Linked DNA regions of Macaca mulatta. The protein of the gene in region 5 purifies or fractionates together with the protein of the main gene of each other region. This does not show direct contact. Links are inferred from orthologs where the notes say so. Each region holds a gene or a part of one and is shown on either strand. Other genes may lie near its edges.

Region 1 (4,099 bases), on a different chromosome or scaffold from region 5:
AGTGTACATAATACAACATTTCACCTAGGTAGCCTGCGATCACATAGGTATTATTAATGGCATTAAATGTGCTTCTTCTCAACCTTGCCTCTAACCTAAACACCACAATGGGTTTAAAATAATGCAAAAGAATGTTACTCCAATGCCTCCTAAATCCACTCCAAAGAACAAATCCTTTAATACACATTGCAGGTAAAATATTGTTCCCCAGCAAGTAAATAATAAAATAACTGTAATCCAGGGTAAAAGTTCTGTTGGCCTCATAAGCTACTTGAAGAAAAAGCAATAAAAGTGATTGCTCAACACACCAACAAAATGCTGTTACTGACAAGGCACCGTGAGTTGCCATTAACAAGACATAATTACCAAGAACTGAAATCAGATTTAGTCATCTCACATCTCCCTGTACCTACGCATTCTACCTATTCTTTTCCAGCTTTCACAAATTGACACTAGGACTATTTTGAGAAATAAAAGGATTCAAAAGTTAAGTGCAACTTCCACTAACATAGTAACACACCTCCCAGGAAGCCCAGGTGACTCAGAAAGTCCTATATGTACAGTATCAATATAGAAACGACTCGGTTTCCATACTTCAAAAGTCCTCTTCCTCCAAGTTGAGTTTCGTGCAAATAACTGGCTGATACGTTTCAGATGGAAGCAAATCTGAACATTTCCAAACAATCTACAGGAAGAGATAACCAAGTAATATCGTCCATGCAACAGAGATAAGCAACGTTCCAGGATATGATTCAAATCTCACAAACATCCTTAAGAGCCCCAAGTCTATTAAGATCTGGAGACTATTAAATAGGCAGGACAAAATACCCCGCCAACCACCTCTCCAAAAAGCATTGCTCTCCTCGCACTGACACTTGTATTTCCCTCTGGCTTGCTTTTGAAAAACAAATTGAAAAAAAAAAACAAAAAGTAAACAGCAGTGCCACATCTGTTCTTGTCTTCCTCACGATGGCAGATCACACACACTACCACCATTCCAAGTGCCTCCTGAGCCCCTTTCCTCGACAGCCCCATCCTTCCACGTGTCCACAACTAGGCTTCTCAACTGTGCGGTGGAAGTGAGCACGAAACTTCAAAAGGGACCTGAAGAGGAAATAATGATAATAATGTAAATTGCTATTAATATTAAAATGGGCGAGGGTATTTTTTCTTTCTTTTTATTTTATTTATTTATTTTTTTTGAGTCGGAGTCTCGCACTGTCGGCCCCGCTAGATTGCAACGGCGCCATCTCGGCTCACTGCAACCTCCACATGCCGGGTTCAAGCGATTCTCCTGCCTCAGACTCCTGAGTAGCTGGAATTACAGGCGTGCGCCGCCACGCCCGGCTAATTTTTTGTATTTTTAGTAGAGACGGGGTTTCACCATGTTGGCCAGGCTGGTCTCGAACTCCTGATTTCGTGATCCGCCCGCCTTGGCCTCCCAAAGTACTGAGATTACAGGCGTGAACCACCGCGCCTGGCCTCTGTTTTCAAACAAAATTTCCGTTACAGACATCGGAGGTTGCAAGGTACAAACTGGGGCAGGAGTATGTACACTTGTCAAAGTGGCAGGATGTTTGTTGATGGTGGTGGTGTTCTGAAACACCAAACTTTAAAATGAACTATGGTATTTAGAGAATTACTGTAATCACAGCAGACCTGCTAACGCTTTTTCACCCAGGCACAAAGCACGCCCCTTCTGCCTCCCTTTCCCAGTCATTCCTCAGGGGTGCGGGAAACAACGGACAAGCAGAGCACGGGGACCAGCACGCTCCTCCTGCCACTCCAGTCTCTGCAGGTGCCAGCACAGAAGAAAACCTGGGCTCTCGCCTCCCTCCCTGCCACTGCGGTGCGGTCCCGGGGTGGAGACACGGCGCGCCCCATCCTGAGAACCCCACCTGGAGGGGAGCAGGGACACAGGAAGGGCACCGTTGGGAGGCATCACCCGGTTCGCTGGAGGCACAATCGCGCGCGCGCGTACACACATACACACACACATGCACACACACACACGCGCACACACACACACACACACACAGCGGCGCGCGGTGGCGCGGGCGGCTGGCAGGTTACCTGTTCTGCCAGCCCTGGAGGAGGTTGGTGTATTTGCTGAGCACGCCCTCGAGCGCCGGCTCCCTCCTGCGGCCGCCTCCCCCGGACGGGCTAGCGGCCACAGAGCCCGGGCTGCTGCGGCTGCCCCCGCCGCCGAGCCCGGCCGCCGCAGACCGGCTGGAGACCCCCCGGCCCGCCAGAGAGCAGGAGGGCGAGGAGCCCGCCGAGGTAGCACGGCTGCTGCTGCGGCTGCTGCTGTTGCTACCCCCGCCGCCGTCTGTGCCCTGGGTTGCCCTCTCCATGGTCCGTGCGCGCCCGGGACGCGGGTGCCCGCCGCTGTGGCGGCCCCGGCACGGCTGCTGCTGCTGCTGCTACAGCTCCGGGCGCCCGGGCCGCGCGTGGCTGCTCCAAATCCCCGGGAAATGCCTGACTCATACAGGAGGAAGAGGAGGAGGCGGCGAAGGAGAGCTGGGAAGGAAGCCAACGGGGCTGGATGCAGCTGCGGCCGCCCCTCCTCCCGCCGCGGCCAGGGCCCGGCCCCTCCCTCCGCACTAGTTTCCCGGGCAAGTTCGGAGCGGGTGGCCGGCTAAGCGAGCCCTCTTCGGGTTCTTCCTTCTCTTCCTTCGTGTCCCTGCGGCCTCTTAGGCCCTGGGGACACTCTAGGAGGCCGATCTGCAAGGTGGGCACGCCCTAAATCCACGCCGAGTCACCCACGCATTCCTTCTACCACCCTCTCTTGGATCCGAAGGGGCGAAAGGGAATCTCTGCGCGTCACTCCCCACCCCCTATCCACCTCGGGACGTGGAGGGAGGGGCAGCCCCACCCACCCGGTCCACCCGGATATGGACCCGCCCGGCCTGACAGGCTCACACGCGCACTCCCTCCCTCGGTCTTCCGCACACGATCCTGCGCCAGACGCTCCTACACAGTAACCTGGAAATTGTCACCGGCGGAGCAAAATCACAGGGCAGGGAGGCCCTCCGCGTTGTCTGGCGGAGGAGGGGAGTGGCAGGTGATCCTCACAGGTAAGCTCGCCGCGCATTTTCATAAAGCAGGATTATGATAAATGCTTAACAGACACAGGACTGGGCTGGGGTGAGGCGCGCGAACTCTCAGGTTTGTGCGAGTGCCTCCTTAAATTGAGTGTCCTAGGTCACTCACTGGCCTAACCCTGATCCCCTGCCCTGAATGACACGCATAAACCTGGCAAGTCAAAACTTATCCATTGTTATCACACTGCACGTGCACCTGGTAACAGAGGCTCTGAAACCGGGAAAACTGCTCCGGAGGCAAGGGAAATTAACAGATATTTACAAACATTGAAGGATTCTCTGTGTTGGCTGTAACTTCTGCGCCCCTCTTCCTACCTGAAGATATCTTTCTACCGCACTAATAATTTTTGTGAATATAGATACCCATTACAATCTGAAGTATCAAAAATTACCTAGAAAAAATCTTTGAGGAACTCGGACTGTCTCTCTCTCTCTCTCTCTCACACACACACACACACACACACACACACACAAAACAAAAGGTGATGATGATAGGTGATCTCCGTCCAAAGGATCTACAAACCCATCAAGCAGATAAATACTTCAACAGTTTTAAAAAATTACTAAATGGAAGACTCAGCTCTTAAAGGAACAGTTCCCCCAGCCTGACCCCTTTGTAGCTTCACATCCTTCCAGGAAGATTTCATGGGTGGTTTAGCTCTAGAGATTTTCACGGAGTTGTTTCTGGAGCCGAAGGCAAGTGGTTGTGTCCCTGAGTAAATTACAATTCCAGGCGCCTACATAGTGTTTAAAGAAAAAAAAAAAATCTGAAAAAGAGATTGCCTGGACCAACTTTGAAGCCATTCAAGCTGAATTCTAACCTATGACTTTGATTAAATTACCTTTTTTAGCCTTAGTCTTCTCACTTGCAAAATGGGACAAATGATACTGGCTGTGATAAACTAGGCAAGAATGTTCATTTGTTCAAAATATTTGCTGGCGCTTCCTATGGAAGGAGTATCCTTCCTCCACGTGGACCTCAGGCTTGGCCATGG
Region 2 (4,022 bases), on a different chromosome or scaffold from region 5:
AAACATCCTTTGACAATAGCTTGTGCTAAAACTGTAAAAATGTCATACACATGACTTATCTTAGAACACCCATAAATGAAAGCTAAAGGCAAAATGGATTAGAAAGGCAGTATGTGGAGTTAAGACATCGCTCAGTTTTTACATGAAGTTCCAGGAAAATGGTAGAAATACACAAGGCATAAAAAGTTAAGTGTATTAAGTCTTCAGGGAGTACTCAAGACTGGCAATGCATGCAGGTGCCCAAAGGCAAACTGTTTTTGTAGTACTGCAAAACAGCTCCCTGGGCAGATGTGAGCAGCCAATGTGTGCTGTCCACCTCTAGAGTGACCCAGATTCTACTTAATTAAGTAGATGAAAGTGAACTCACCCTAGGGCTCCTGCGAGGTGACTGGACAGCTGGGACCTGCGGGGTACAATACCAATTGATCTCATAGCTGGCCCCCAGTTTCGCCCGCCTACTCACCCACAACACCCTCCTTAGCCTTTACCTCTACAGCATGGGCCACGATCCTCTTTAAAACGATGGGCTTTCTGATTGCAGCCGCACTGGGTGTCTGGAGAAGAGGGATGAACGTGAGCTCAACATTAGGTGAGGGGCCACAAGGGGAGGAAGTGAGAAACCTGGGGCTCACCTTCGGCCAGATTTCAGGGAGGATGCTCGGGAGTTCAGAGCCTGATTTCCGCTGGGACCTCCGCAGAGGCTTAGTAGGAGATGGGGCCCTTGGCCCTGGAAAGAGAAAAAAGTTAAGTGGTAGAGGAGGACTCTAGACCTTAGAGTCCAGAGAACAGGTTCTAGAGACAGCGAGAAAATTCCCAAACAAGCCCTTCTAAGGGCGCCTCCTCTGGAGGCAGCAGCGGGAGGGAAGGGCAATCTTTCACAGGACTGCGTCCCCCAAACGGCTCGACCTCACGTCTCCCGCGCGCCCTCCGCTCACCGGAGCGCTGAGCGGCTCCTCCGGACCGCGTTCGCCTCCCAGACATAACTAAGCTCGGTCTCGAGCTCCTCCAGCGCCGCCGCCCCGGGCGCGCGCCAACGGGGAAGGCCACTCGCTGCAAAAAACTTTCGAATTACCCGCCCTGCGGAGAAGGAAGCGGAAGTGACGTAGGGACAGAGGTCCGCGGCGCCCGGGCCCCCTCTCTTTTCCACCGGTCTTCACGTCTAGCGTCAGCGGAGGCGTGGCCCAGGGGTGCGATGGCGTCATCAGGGCGCGCCGCACCCGGAAGAGACGTGGCAGCGGAGGGATAATCGGGGCGGCCGGGGCTGAAGGGAGCGGAGCAAGATCCTTGGAGAGCGTGGTCCCTGCCCTTCCTCGCCTCGAAGCATCGCTGCCGCCCTTCGGAACTGGTGCAGCGGCCGATCAGTAAACACAGAGACTGGGGTCTGTAGAGAAGGGGCGGGGCTTGGAGGGGGTGGGGCTCAGGGGAGGCCTTGGGGGCGGGGCCGGTGGTATCGGGGAGTCGCTGATGGAGGGGCCTGGCCGGGGGCGGGATCCAGAAGGATTGAGGGGTCGCCGGAGGTGGGATTTATGCAGGGAGTGTTTCCCCGCATAAGGAGGAACAGTGGGCAGAAATCTTGGGTCGGGGCGAATAAGAGAGTGTCTGGGGGAGTTAAGAGTGGAAACTGGGCTGGTGAGAGCGTAGTGGTGGCCACCAGAACCTGGCTTCCTACCAACTCAGGTCCCTTTCCCAGGATCGATCATGGGGCTTTGTAAGTGCCCCAAGAGAAAGGTGACCAACCTGTTCTGCTTCGAACACCGGGTCAACGTCTGCGAGCACTGCCTGGTAGCCAATCACGCCAAGGTGGGGCCTTCAGGGGAGCGACTGAGCAGGGCACTGGGTGGGCAAGGCGGTATTGGCTTCCTCCAAATCAATGAGGGTCCCCGCGCTAGAATGTAAGCCCCACAAGGGCAAGGACTTGGTTTATTTTGTTCACTGATATATCCCCCGCCCCCAAGAGAGAGTCTGGCGCACAGTATGTGCTCAATAAATATTGATTGAACAAACAAAAGGATGAGTCTCCTCTGTGACTAGAGAAAAAGAGACTGTCAGACCTTGGGGTGATAGGCCGAGCAGCCCCAGCACCAGTTGTGACATCTCTCTCCCACTCCAGTGCATCGTCCAGTCCTACCTGCAATGGCTCCAAGATAGCGACTACAACCCCAATTGCCGCCTGTGCAACATACCCCTGGCCAGCCGAGAGACGACCCGCCTTGTCTGCTATGGTGAGGCCTTGGCACCTCGGGGGGATCAGGCCAGCCTCAGGGACCAGCTTGGTGACTGGTTTCCAGGCCCTCCTCAAGCAGCAGGACAGTGAGTCCCCCAAGTCTCAGAACCCAGATTCTAGTCATATTAAAGTTCCTTACCTGCTCTGTAAGTTCAGGCAAGTTATTCTTCCTTTCTAGGCCTCACTGTCTTTCCTAAAAATTAAAGCTCCTAGTTCCTCTTTCCTAAAAATTCAGACCTGCCAATCTGGAGGTTTGAGCGAGAGCCAGTCAAGCTTATGTGTATGCTGGTGGCCGTGACTATCAGCTAGCCAGACCGGCATGTCGCTTTCAGATATTCAGGATCCACCACTGATTCCAAGTCTAAACAGAGAGGAAGTGAGTTTCCCACATTAAAGTTAGCTAAAAGAAGTCAGCAGACATATGTGTCATGACTTTGACCTGAATCTGGAGTAAGAGCCTTAGCTCCAGTTTTTGAAGGAGCTCATGCAAGAGGCAGCTCCATATGTGTTTTTCCTTATGAGTGCGTGTGTGTACTTGCAGGCACTTAATGTACACTGTGTGTTTAAATGAGTGTTAGTGTGTTGATTAGTACTTGGGGGTGAATGAATGGGTAATGTATGTACGTAAACATATGAACACAGGTGTGTTGTGGGAGTACAAGAGAATGCATGGTTGAATGTGCCTGAGTGTTAGCAAACCTGTGAGTGTATAGATGTGTATGTGTGAGGGCTCCTGTGCCCATAGTGTAGATATAGTGAATGCTACTTGTGTTTGATTATGTGCTTATAAAGCATATGTACATGTGTGCCCAGGGATGTGTACATGCATATGTGTGCCTGTGTGTATATCAAGGAACCTTTTCTGAAACTGTTCATTATTAGCCATTAGCCCAAAGAGTATGATGAGTGCAGGCCCAGAGAGGACTCACTGAAAGGAGAGGTGGCGTTTCTTCCCACCCAAACTTACCCCTGTGAGCTGGACAGCTTGGTAGCACTGCCTGGACTTAGATGGTGATAGCCAAGAAGACTGATGTTTTAGGGAACAGGACGGGGAGGAGAAGGCTCTGGCACACACGTGTGTCCATATGTCCTGCAATGGTTTGGGGGCTATTGCTAGGCTAGGAGCCCTAAGTGTCTTCTTCCTCATGTCTCTTCTCCCCTGTCTCATGGGCCCTAAGATCTCTTTCACTGGGCCTGCCTCAATGAACGTGCTGCCCAGCTACCCCGAAACACGGCACCTGCCGGCTACCAGTGCCCCAGCTGCAATGGCCCCATCTTCCCCCCAACCAACCTGGCTGGCCCTGTGGCCTCCGCACTGAGAGAGAAGCTGGCCACGGTCAACTGGGCCCGGGCAGGACTGGGCCTCCCTCTGGTGAGAGTCCCTCTGTCTGTCTGACCATCCATCTGCCCTGGGCCCCACCTGAGCCAGATGGGTGGGGACAGTACTAGGCAGCCTGGTGACCCAGATTCCCTCCTCCAGATCGATGAGGTGGTGAGCCCAGAGCCCGAGCCCCTCAACACGTCTGACTTCTCTGACTGGTCTAGCTTTAATGGTAAGTGGTGGCTTCCACCGACTGTCTGGGCTTTAGCCTCCCTGCTCTGCTGACAGCTCCATTGGTCTACAGTCACATGCTCTACCCCTGAGCTCTACCCACTACTTCTGCTGATGGCTCTCTTTCCGCCCACAGCCAGCAGTACCCCTGGACCAGAGGAGGTAGACAGCGCCTCTGCTGCCCCAGCCTTCTACAGCCAGGCCCCCCGGCCCCCGGCTTCCCCAGGCCGGCCCGAGCAGCACACA
Region 3 (4,044 bases), on a different chromosome or scaffold from region 5:
TCTCCTTTTCTAGATTTCACCAAAAAAAAAGACAAAAGAGGAAATAATATAAAATTACAACATTTTTAATTTCAGTTGTGAAAAACTTCAAAATCTTCATGCAGTATACTCCTCAATGTCATTGTAAAACCATTATTAGAAGAACAGGATATTGGCATCACCTTAGAGATGTTACCTACTCCAACCTCCAATTTTAAAGATAAAGGAGAATAACATTTGATGGCAAAGGAACCTTTGACTATATCCATACATTTTATCTTCTGAAAAAGAAAATGTCTAAAGTAAATATGCCATAATATAATATTAAAATATGAGTAATTACATGAAAATATATTATTTAAACTTTTATTTAAAATATTATTTAAAATATATTTAAAATATTATTATATTTAAACTTTTCAGAATTTAAAATATTTTTTCTATAAAAGTTTAAATTAAGATGAAGAAACTAAGGCCCAATAAGGTAAGTGGCTTGTCCAACACAGCACACCATTCACTAGGCCTATTCAGATTTCAGATTTGCTACTCCAGTGCATTTTCGAATTTCAAATGTTTACAAACTATAAGGAATTACTGGAAATGATATTGCCAGTATTCTGAAGAAACACTTCATTTCTGCAGAAGGTGCTGGTCATTTAATTCCTTAAATCTCTTTCTTTACTTCCCTTTCTTTTACATTGCATTGAGTGTGGTGGGGGGATGTAAACAAAGTATGTACAGTAGGCCCTCTATATTCACGGATTGAACCAACTACAGACCAACTGCAGATCAAAAATATTTGGGAAAAAAATTAAAAATATCAATTTGGCAATAAAAATAATGCAAATTAAAAAACAACAGAACAACTATGTACATAGCATTTACTTGTATTGGGTATTATAAGTAATCCAGAGATGACCTAAAGTATACAGAAGGATGTGCATAGGGTACATACAAATACTAGGCCATTTTATTTAAGAGACTTGAGCAACCTCCGATTTTGGTATGGTCAGGGGTACTGAAACCAATCCCCCATAGATACCAAGGGACTATTGTATTGTTGGGCAAACCACAGTGAACCAATCAAATGATCAGCCACCTATTAAAAACAGGCTCTTGGCCAGGCACTACAGGTCACACTTGTAATCCTAGCACTTCGGGAGGCTGAGGCAGGAGAATCACTTGAGCCCAGGAGTTGCAGGCTGCAGTGAGCTATGATCTTGCCACTGCACTCCAGCCTTGGCAACAGAGCAAGACCCTGTCTCAAAAAGACAACCAAAAAAAAAAAAAACCAGGCTCTTCCGCAATTCAGGGTATCACTCACGGTTCTATAAACAGCAATGCCCACTATATGTTCCATATATGTAATTATAAATTTTAGAAGCCAGGTTTAAAAAGAAAAAAAGTAAAACTAAAAAACACAGGAAATACATTTTAATATTATATTTAATTTAACTCAATATATTCAAATATTATTTCAACACATAAGCAACATAAAAATTAGAGGTATTATATTTTTTCTCCTACTTCTTTAGGAGTAATACTTATTCAAAACGATGTTTTAATTCATGCTAACAGCACGTTTCAATTAGCACTAACCTCATATCACGTGCTCAACAGCTACAGTGGCTAGTGGTTACCCTAGTGGACAGGGGAAGTCTATAGCTCTTTGTTGCTGCTTGAATTAAAAGCAGATCCATACGTTTGAGTCGTTTTTTGAATCTTCCTCCAAAGCTGACAAACTTCCCACATCTTTTGTGGAGTGAGAAAGTCCCAAAGTCCTCAAAGCTTAACACATAATTCATGCAAACGATTAAGCTTGTTGAAGAGTGCATGTTTAAGTACACTATTTATTGAATACTTATATACACTTAATCTCCAGGATAAAAACTTTGGCATAAATTCCTGGGCATACAACCAAGCAGGCACCTAATTAATGACGATGCTGGTCGAGGCTTGAATTTCTCTCTATTGCTCCAAAACAAAATTCAAAATCCTCTTCGTATTGACGGAAAAGTAAATATTAAAGGAAGGAATAATTTTCACAGGAGCTGAAAGCATTGTGAGTAAGAATCCCTAAGCACACGCCTTTCTTAAAGATCTGCCTATTCCTCTCCAAACCCGGTAATCCTAAAGAGAAGGCACCCGGTTCCTGCTCCCTGTAAAATGATAGTGAAGATAACTGCGAAATGCAATTTCCTTCTTCTTTTTCCTTAGTACCACTTCGAGCGTATATGACCAGACAACCATGCTCACTCCACGCGCTACCGAAACAGAAAGGGCTGTCTTTATGCTGTAGGGCCAAACGGGCCACGCTGAGTGCAGCGAGAGGACCACAGAGACGGGCAGGGCGGGGACAGCAGGCGCAGGGCAGGCACAGCAGGGCCAGGGCTTGGCCTCGGAGGACTAGAAAGGTGGGAACTTTGGCAGCGCCGGCGGGATCCCACCGCATCTCCCCAGCCGGGGTCGGGACTGGGACCCCGAGAATCCGCGGGCGGCAGAGGCTCCCACGTAGAGCACCTGCCGCACCGGGAAGGGGGAGTCTCGGGCGGCGGAGGGAGCAGGGCCCGGGCAGGATCCCGGACGGAGCAGCCCTCGGCTGGGCCCTCAGCGCCCGCAGCCCGCCGGCCGCGCCCCTCTCGCTTACCGCCCCAGATGCCCAGCTTCAGCTGGGACTTGTTCAGGTTCTCCACATAGTCCCCCAGGAAGCGGTTCAGCAAGTCCGCGACCACCGACTCCAGCACCATGGTGGGGCTGAGGCAGCTTGGGAGGGAGGAGCCGGAACCACCCGGCCGCAGCTAAGGGCGGCGACCAGCGCTACGAATGACAGCCCCTCCGGCGCCGGCCCACCCCCGCGCCGCGCGCGTGACCCCGCCTGTGCGCAGGCGCGCCGTCGCCCGGCCGGTAGCTGCGGAGGCCCTGTGGTGATCCCGAGGCCTTGTGGGCTTCGCAGCCCCGGCCTTCTGGGTGCCGAAGGAGGCGCGCAGGGGAAGTTAGCTTGAGCCTGTCTCGGCAGCCGTGCACGAGAGAAAAAGGACCTTCGAGATGAACAAGGGAGGGCAAGAGTTACCAAGCACAGGGTCATCTATGTGGCCGCTCTGCTTTCCCGCCTCCCGGCTCTGTCCGGAGCCGCCGGGCCGGGAGTGTGCGCTGAGCGTCACCTAGGCAACCACCCTTGCACCTCTGGATCAGGTGGAGGAAAAGGACCGACTGCGTTCTTGTCCTCCTAGAGTTCGACTCCGCCTGGGGCTTGGTCTCTGCTTCTTGAAAACACACAGGTTTTTTGTTTTGTTTTTTCGAGACAGGGTCTCGCTCTGTTGCCAAGGGTGGAATGCAGTGGCGGAATCATAGCTCACTACAGACTTGACATCCTGAACTCAAGGGATCCTCCTGTCTCAGCCTCCTGAGTAGCTGGGACCACTGGCGCGCGACAAATAATTTAAAAGTGGGAGGAAGGGAACAGAACCACATCAAATGGCAGATATCATAGAATGAGAACTGAATATACGCGTTTTGTGGGAAACTCATTCTTTTCTCTTTCTCTAAGATTCGCTTTTAATTCACTAGCCACTGACTAGTTACCTATCTCATTACAGAAATAAAAAACAAAACGTAGTAGTGCCTTTTTAAGTATGAGTTACTTGTTATTTATGTGTCACTTTCTTCCATGCTATCGTTGAACTGTCTTTGATGTAGCACGACCTTAAAAGCAGAGCTTTTATACCACAAGGTCTTTCAACCCTTGTGAAATTTAACCACCCATTGACACCTCTTTAGAGAACTGGACATTTTTTCCTAAAATATACTTCCAGAAGTTGTTGAGATGCAGTAAACAGAAAGAAACCTAAGAAATGCTGACTATTTGTAGTCACAAGCATTTATTAAGTGTTTTGCGACGAGGAAGTGTCTGAGAAAATACTCGTGTATTTTTCTTTAACAACCTAGGCTTGCACAGGATCACAAAGAAAAATCTTAAGTTGAAGGTCCACTGGAGAAGAAAGAAAATCAAAATGGCTACAATTGGTGTTGTGTATTAAATAAAATTTAAGGTACAAAGAAAGACGC
Region 4 (3,950 bases), on a different chromosome or scaffold from region 5:
ATGCTTGCCCAAGTGTGGAATCTGAAGGAGGACAGCTGTCCTGCTAGAGTAAAAAAAAACCTTTACCTCACCGTATAGTGCCCAATACCAGGGAGTCAAAACCAACCACACAGCAAAACTAAAACTAAAACTAAAACTGAGCTCCATCACATTCTGATCTCTCACTTCACAAACGATAGTAGGGAAAACTTGGGAGTTTCTCCCAGAACTTCATTTAGTGTATCAGAGAAGGACTAGGAGAAAGGGGGCAGTTGCTAAGAGAAGAGGTACACCAGAAAAAGCCCATCCAAACCGCCTCAGAAACACACCATTACTAAGCCCTGCTGACCCAACCCTAGGCCTCACTCTTTTGAGTAAATTCCAGCAGTGAAATGGTAGCAAAGTGACAGCCACCTATGGTAACTGGACTGAAAAATGCAAAAACAAAAAGGAAACCAGAGAGGCAGGACCCCACAATATGGCAAGCATAAATCCCTTCTTTAAGGAAATCTGGTTAAAAAAAAAAAAAAAAACTAGGCCAGGCCACAACACACATCCAATAATGCTCAAGAATGTAGAGCAATAAAGATCTCTGGGAATGTGGCCACTTCTAATCTCAGAAGAAAGACTACTGCGAAGCAATTAACAAACAAAATACAAGGGAAGGAAGCACACTGCAATACTAGATTACCACCAGATTATAAAGTGCTGACAATCAGTTGCAATCTAAGGTGATAGCTCTTTGAAGACTCCTCCAGAACTAACTTTTCCAAACCATCTAACACTGGCAATCAGAGAAAACACTCACTTCCAATTAGCGTGGGAGTGAGATAATGTAAACGCTCCTCTTGGCCAGGTGTGGTGGCTCACGCCTGTAATCCCAGCACTTTAGGAGGCCGAGGCCAGGAGTTCGAGACCAGCCTGGCCAACATGGGGAAACCCCATCTTTACTAAAAATACAAAAATTAGCTGGGCATGGTGGCGCACACCTGTGATCCCAGCTACTTGGGAGGCTGAGGCATAAGAATCACTTGAACCCAGGGAGGTGGAAGTTGCAGTAAGCCAAGATCATGCCACTGTACTCCAGCCTGGGCAACAGAGTGAGACTCCATCTCAAAAAAAAAAAAAAAAAAAAAAAAAGAAAAGAAAAGAAAAAAACACTCCTCTTGCACAAATATGGTAGTAGTTTGAACCAGCCCTAGATCCTTTGCTCAAATGAATTAACAAATCTGCAAATTTGAAAGAACTACTCATTTCAGCTGTGCGGGCTGCCAGCCACATTCAGCTTCAATTGCATTAAGCGTGCTCCTAGCCCTATGCCCTAGAAACTCCACTGGACCAGGTGACCAGGCCCAACAGGCCCAACCTTGCCACTTAATCTGTGACAGCCTCAGGAAAGTTACACAGTCTTTTTGAATCTTGGTTTCCTCATAGGAGGGATTAAAAAACAAAACAAACAAACAAAAAAACTTGAATGAGATAGTTTCCAAGTTGTCTCCAAATTCAAATATATGATTTAATACATAAGCCTGAAGACTTTTAATCCCTACAAGATTATTCTTTTTGCCCTCTTTTGGATTCTCTCTACTTATTACACACCTCACCCAACACTAAGCAAGTGCCTTTAACACCCACATAGCACTAGTGTGGCCAGAACTAAAAGTGAAAGCTAAGCAGCTAAGCAGTCTTTTTGAAATATACTTGCTTGGGAATACAGGGTAAAGAGTAGAAAAAACCATGACTGCCTTTTTTTTTTTTTTTTTTGAGACGGAGTCCCACTCTGTCGCCCAGGCTGGAGTGCAGTGGTGAAACCTCAGCTCACTGCAACCTCTGCCTATTGGGTTCAAGCGATTCTCGTGCCTCGGCCTCCCCAGTAGCTGGGACTACAGGCCGCGCCATCACGCCCGGCTAATTTTTGTATTTTTGGTAGAGATAAGGTTTCACCATGTTGACATCTGGTTGAATGTTGGTCAGGCCAGTGTTGAACTCCTGACCTCAGGTGATCCGCCCGCTTAGGCCTCCCAAAGTGCTGGGATTACAGGCGTGAGCCACCGCGCCCGGCCCGACGACTGCTTTTTCAACAAGCTTCCAAAAAAGTGAAACCCTAAGGCGCTTCTCTACGTTGCCCTGTCCCACAATCTCCACCAAAAGCAGCCTAGACCCCAGGCCCATCAGTCTGCAGTGACCGCGGTCTCAGGAGACGGGCTCCTACCCTGGCGTCCGGTCTCTGAAGTCTGCGTATAGTCCAGGGAGTTGGGCAGGCTCTGGCTGCGGCCATGGCGCTGGGTCCGTTTCCATCGCTGGCTGTAAAGGAGGCACAGGAATCCAAGGCCGGCGGCGGTACCCAGCAACAGTCCCAGCCCGGCACGGGCACCACCCAGGGCTCCCAGTCTAGACATGCTGCACCTGCGGCCAGCAGAAGCCACCGGGAGCAGGCGGGCGGCCGGGCGGGCGTAGGGAGAGAGAGAGATTCGTGAGTCTGGTAAACCCACCCCCAAGGCAGAACCCCGGCAGGTACCCCCTTGCCCAAACCCTGAGCTCCTGACTACCTGCATCCCAGTCTGAACCCTAAGGCTTCCTCCAGCCCCCTGGGCCCCACTGCCGCTCCCCTCACCCAGCCTGGACATAGCCACCCCTCCAGCACATCCTCCGATCCGGGTCACAGAGTACGGCTTCTGGGCCTTCAACCCTCCACCTCAGCCTCACAACACTGCAGACCACAAACCCGCCGCCCTGGCTGCAAACTCCCGGCCTTCCCCTGCGGCCCAGGAACGCGCTCTGGCCTGGCAGGAGACCCACTCAAAACCTTACCCGGCCGCCAGCCACCATGGCAGCAGCCGCCGCGGGCTCACGCTGTCAGTGACCGTGACGTCAGACAGACGGCGCCAGCGGCTCGGCGCCCTGAGGGAAGGCGCACGGAGATGACCACGCCGGCCCCACCCCCGGCCTGTTTCCCTCAGGAGCGAGGCCACGGGCGCCGGCGGAGGGGCGGAGTCAGCACAGCGCAAAAGGAAAGCAAAAAGGGTCCGAAGGCTGAGGAAAGGCGGGAAAGCGGGGAGACTTCTTGGGCGGACGCTGGCGCAGTCACCCTCACCGTCCGGCATCCAGGCCTCCATTTCCCTCCGGTCACACCGGCTTACTTGCTGCTCCCGGAATACGCTCAGCATATTCACACTTTCTCCCTGCGCTTCTGCCCGGACCTCCCCTCTGTACCTGGAAAACGTCACCCTCTCCCCACATTTTATTTTTATTTTGTAGAGACTGGGTCCCGCTCTCCTGGTCTCCAGCGATCCGCCTGCCTCGGCCTCCCAAAGTGCGTGAGCCGCCGCACCCGGCCATAAACCTTAAACCTAACGTACCGTTTTATAATTCTATTTTACTCTTGTAATTGTATGCAACTTCTAATTTTGGCAACTAAAAAGACCGATTTTATGGACTACGATGACGATTGTATTGTGAATATTTCTTAAGAGTTAAAATTTTCTTTAGTGATAGAAGAAAGTTCTAGGCCAGTTCTCCCAATACCCTTGACTAGATCTTATATTTCTTTACGCTTTAATTGTGAGTTACTGTATACATATAAGAATACAGGAGGCCTGCGGTGGTGGCATGTGACTGTAGTCCCACATGCCCTGGGGGCTGAGATGGGAGGATCACTTGAGCCCAGGGTGTGGAGGCTGCAATGAGCCATGAGCACTCTGGGCAACGGAAGTCAGGATTTCGAGGCCACCCTGGCCAACCTGGCGAAACCCCGTTGTTAGGCAGGAATCTAGACCCAACATGGCAGCGTTACCCGGCGTAGCAGGCCTTTTGTTAAAGACTCCCTTCACCCTTGTACACACCCTCAGACTTACATGCGTCAGAGTTCCGGCTGGGCAGTCACACGCCCAGTGACCTGCAGCTCACGTGCATTCCACAAGTTCGTCAACAGCAATTTCCGTCGACAGTTTCCAAAGACCCCTTCCTCATGA
Region 5 (3,500 bases):
TAAATCGCTGGGTTCAACTGTCATTACTGTATCAGTAATGGTTTGGTTTCCAAACCAGTGAGAGCTACTCTTAATCAGCAGTATCAAATACCTGCGGTCTCAATCCTTTTCACACACCTCAAAGTGTGTGCTATCCAGAGCACAGCAGAAGCCCAGATAGAAGACAGATTTATGCTGACTGAATTACTGTAAAAAATGACATAAAACTCTAAGTGAGAAAATATCCAAATGTTTTTTTAAAAAGTCAATCCAGACAATACGCTGTTTTGTTTTCTTGATTTCAACAGTAAGAGCTGTGCAAGCTATTAGCTTCCCTCAGCCTAAGCCAAAAAAGAAAACCTCTAAATGGGAAGCATACACAGACCATCTAACACTCACTTTACAGAGAATATACGTGTTCACATTTTTTTGCTTTTGGCAAATACCTCAAAAATCACTTAAAAGAGGTATTTTAAAAATTCAAAAACTAATTTGGTCAACACCTAATTGCCAGAGACCTTTTCATTTCTGCTTATCCTGAAAGAGAAACACAGTAACTGAGCCCACGTATTTAATCTGCATGTTTACTTTTCAATAGAGCAAATTGCCACCAGATTAAGGCAGTAGTCATGTCAGACTGTAACCAAATCGTGCCAAACAATTCTATTTATCCATATTATTGTATGTATTAAGTCACATACACACACAGAAAAACTTATCTTTCAAGTCTCTCTTACCATAGGGAAAGATTCAAATTTGCAACCCAGACAGGGAAAAGGACAAGGTAAGTGACTATAATCCACTCTGTACATTCACCGACTACTATTTGTTTGTTTTTAAATAAACACATATATCCCTCAGTCCCCCAAATTGTATTTGACCTACACTAATGAGTAAGCAGCATAACAATTATTTACTAAAGAATGCAATCAGATGGATTTGACTAAAAACAAAAGTGAGCAAAATACCTGGGAATAGCTAAACCTGGAATAAACTGTCCATGTAAGTGAATTTTTTATCCCCAAACTGCTGGTACATAATGGCCAAAAAGCAATTTATATGTATTTTTAAATTATGTATACATGTCTCATTCTAAAAAAGAACCTGTAGTGGTTTACGCCACAAAAATCTGCTATACTTAAAGGATTCTTCTCCAGGATGTAGTCTAGACCTAAAAGTGAGTCTTTCTTTCTTCTTGGATAAACAAAATGTTATTTTTTAAAAAAAAAAAAGTATACCAAGTTTTTTAAAACTTAACCACTGAGTCTTATGACATGAAAGAGCCATAACACACATACCTCAAAGGTCAAAAATAGAAGCAAAATTAATCAAAGGAACTGAGCGCTCAACAGCTTCAATTTTTTTTTACATTTTCCTACTTACCAATTTGTCATTTTCATTAGGCATTTCAAATACACATCTCAATTTGGAATCCATTAATTCATCAGGTTTTGCCTCTTTCCACTAAAAAATAAACAAAACCAAAAATGAGACATAGGAGGTATGATCATGGTAAGTAAGTGTGACCTCATGGGACAGCTAAAAGATGAGTGTAGCTGCCTGGCTTGGCTGAAATACACTGGTGCCCTCTTCACTGATCACCCTGCCATTGTTACTGGCTAATGTCACAGAATATATAATCCTAGAGTTACTATCACCATCCATTAAAATCACGATGATATCACTAGCAACCACAGGACTTTCTTCTTAAGAGCAGCATTTCTTTCTTTTTTCTCTTTTTCCAGTTGGTCTCATTCTGTCTCCTAGGCTGGAGTGCAGTGGCCACTCCTGGGCTCAAGCAAGCCTCCTGGGTAGCTGGGACTACAGGCATCTGTTGGTTTTTTTACTTGTTGGGTTTTGTTTTTTTTTTTTTTTTAATCGTAGAGACAGGGTCTTGTCATGTCGCCTGGGCTGGTCTTGAACTCCTGGGCTTGAGATACTCCCATCTTAGCCTCCCAAAGGGCTGGGATTACAGGTGTGAGCCACTGCACTAGGCCAGTAGCAGCATTTCTAAATTGTTTCTAAAAAAAAAAAAAAATACTATTTAAAAATTCTTGGCCGGGCGCGGTGGCTCACGCCTGTAATCCCAGCACTTTGGGAGGCCAAGGCGGGCGGATCACAAGGTCAGGAGATCGAGACGATGGTGAAACCCCGTCTCTACTAAAAATAGAAAAAATTAGCCGGGCACAGTGGCGGGCGCCTGTAGTCCCAGCTACTCGGGAGGCTGAGGCAGGAGAATGGCGTGAACCCGGGAGGCGGAGCTTGCAGTGAGCCGAGATTGCGCCACTGCACTCCAGCCTGGGTGACAGAGCGAGACTTCGTCTCAAAAAAAGAAAAAAAAAAAAAAAATTCTTTCATTCTGTAAGTTAGGATTATCTACAATGAAGATATTGGCACTTTTTTAAAAATCTAAATTTAACTTTTAGTTTTTAGAAATTAAGTTTTTCTACTGACTGCTGAACAAAACCCACAGTTTAAACTCCACTCCCCAAAATAAATTCTTCTTCTGTACTTACCACAGCTTCCATATCTGAAGTGTTTGGTGGAGCAAAAATTGTCTGTACCATAAACTTGTGTTTACTCTTTTCATTCGGATCATAGTCAAAGGGCTGTAGCATTACTAAATAAGAAAAAAAGGATATATTATATTGTCTCCTGCATGTTTGAAAGACATACATTGAAACAGTTACAGATTAAATTATACCAAGTCCGGGATTTGCCTTAAACAGTATCTGGCCATAGTATCATTCCCATTACTTCACAAATATGCAAATTTAAAGAAAACCAAGAAGGGTTCAAGAAACCAAACACCAGAATGTTTAAGAATCCAGAATCAACTTAATGGATCCCAAGTATTTTCAAATTGTCTGCCTTTCTAATTTACTAAGTTTTCCACAACCAACAAAATAAACAATTGCAATTAAAAATTAAATATGAATCTATGATTTTGCCCTTTCTAAACTCAGCTTGTGAAAATTTTCAAAACTTTGCCAGTGTTAACTATAATGCCTATAAGTTCAGATAAAATCTACTAAGTTATTAAAACTCGTTATGAATTTAGGCTTCATTTTAGTGTTTTCTGATTTAAAATTATATAGCTGGCATATTTAAAGGAGAAATAGTAACTTAAAACCTCACTACCATCTATTTTTTGCTTTTTAAAACTGAGTCTTACTCTGTCGTGAGGCTGCAGTGCAGTGGCGCCATCTCTGCTCACTGTAGCCTCAACCTCCCTGGGCTCATTTTGTAGAGAAAGGGTTTTCGCCATTTTGCCCAGGCTGGTATCAAATTCCTGGGCTCAAGAGATCCGCCTTCCTCAGCCTCCCAAAGTGCTAGGAATAAATGCGTTAGCCGCAGTGCCCAGCCCATATATTAATATAATTAATTTTTCAAAAATGTATTTTAAATAAACATCTATTTCAGTTTATGAATTTATTTCAATCTTCTAAGAAAACAAAAGTACACAAGGAAACCATATAGCCTCTTGATTTCTAAAATATATTCTACAGTCTCAATAACAT

The links. The genes of interacting proteins can lie anywhere in the genome.
Region 1: the proteins of VAPA (region 5) and OSBPL10 purify together in Homo sapiens (co-immunoprecipitation; 4 studies listed by BioGRID and IntAct, counting the BioPlex papers as one, with this or other methods). This does not show direct contact. The link is inferred for Macaca mulatta from reciprocal best matches to the Homo sapiens genes VAPA and OSBPL10.
Region 2: the proteins of VAPA (region 5) and ZFPL1 purify together in Homo sapiens (co-immunoprecipitation; 3 studies listed by BioGRID and IntAct, counting the BioPlex papers as one, with this or other methods). This does not show direct contact. The link is inferred for Macaca mulatta from reciprocal best matches to the Homo sapiens genes VAPA and ZFPL1.
Region 3: the proteins of VAPA (region 5) and VPS13C purify together in Homo sapiens (co-immunoprecipitation; 3 studies listed by BioGRID and IntAct, counting the BioPlex papers as one, with this or other methods). This does not show direct contact. The link is inferred for Macaca mulatta from reciprocal best matches to the Homo sapiens genes VAPA and VPS13C.
Region 4: the proteins of VAPA (region 5) and RMDN3 purify together in Homo sapiens (co-immunoprecipitation; 4 studies listed by BioGRID and IntAct, counting the BioPlex papers as one, with this or other methods). This does not show direct contact. The link is inferred for Macaca mulatta from reciprocal best matches to the Homo sapiens genes VAPA and RMDN3.

The regions. Positions count from the first base shown.
Region 1 is NC_133407.1:16,528,540-16,532,638, reverse strand, and holds the start of OSBPL10 (oxysterol-binding protein-related protein 10), read right to left. Parts: upstream 2,801-4,099; 5' UTR 2,584-2,800; coding exon of another isoform or gene 2,355-2,583; coding exon 2,074-2,354; intron 1-2,073. Other genes in the region: uncharacterized protein LOC114676224, read left to right, coding at 2,353-2,583, 2,801-3,077. UniProt on the Homo sapiens protein: Probable lipid transporter involved in lipid countertransport between the endoplasmic reticulum and the plasma membrane.
Region 2 is NC_133419.1:9,300,638-9,304,659, reverse strand, and holds the start of ZFPL1 (zinc finger protein-like 1), read left to right. Parts: upstream 1-1,222; 5' UTR 1,223-1,379; intron 1,380-1,407; exon of another isoform or gene 1,408-1,517; intron 1,518-1,677; 5' UTR 1,678-1,698; coding exon 1,699-1,800; intron 1,801-2,110; coding exon 2,111-2,222; coding exon of another isoform or gene 2,223-2,310; intron 2,311-3,402; coding exon 3,403-3,596; intron 3,597-3,704; coding exon 3,705-3,777; intron 3,778-3,912; coding exon 3,913-4,022. Other genes in the region: CDCA5 (sororin), read right to left, coding at 368-403, 489-554, 633-727, 936-981. UniProt on the Homo sapiens protein: Required for cis-Golgi integrity and efficient ER to Golgi transport. Involved in the maintenance of the integrity of the cis-Golgi, possibly via its interaction with GOLGA2/GM130.
Region 3 is NC_133412.1:39,395,390-39,399,433, forward strand, and holds the start of VPS13C (intermembrane lipid transfer protein VPS13C), read right to left. Parts: upstream 2,801-4,044; 5' UTR 2,727-2,800; coding exon 2,627-2,726; intron 1-2,626. UniProt on the Homo sapiens protein: Mediates the transfer of lipids between membranes at organelle contact sites. Necessary for proper mitochondrial function and maintenance of mitochondrial transmembrane potential.
Region 4 is NC_133412.1:18,096,514-18,100,463, forward strand, and holds the start of RMDN3 (regulator of microtubule dynamics protein 3), read right to left. Parts: upstream 2,801-3,950; 5' UTR 2,791-2,800; exon of another isoform or gene 2,626-2,790; coding exon of another isoform or gene 2,594-2,625; intron 2,386-2,593; coding exon of another isoform or gene 2,379-2,385; coding exon 2,192-2,378; intron 1-2,191.
Region 5 is NC_133423.1:80,896,823-80,900,322, reverse strand, and holds part of VAPA (vesicle-associated membrane protein-associated protein A), read right to left. Parts: intron 2,600-3,500; coding exon 2,496-2,599; intron 1,444-2,495; coding exon 1,363-1,443; intron 1-1,362. UniProt on the Homo sapiens protein: Endoplasmic reticulum (ER)-anchored protein that mediates the formation of contact sites between the ER and endosomes via interaction with FFAT motif-containing proteins such as STARD3 or WDR44.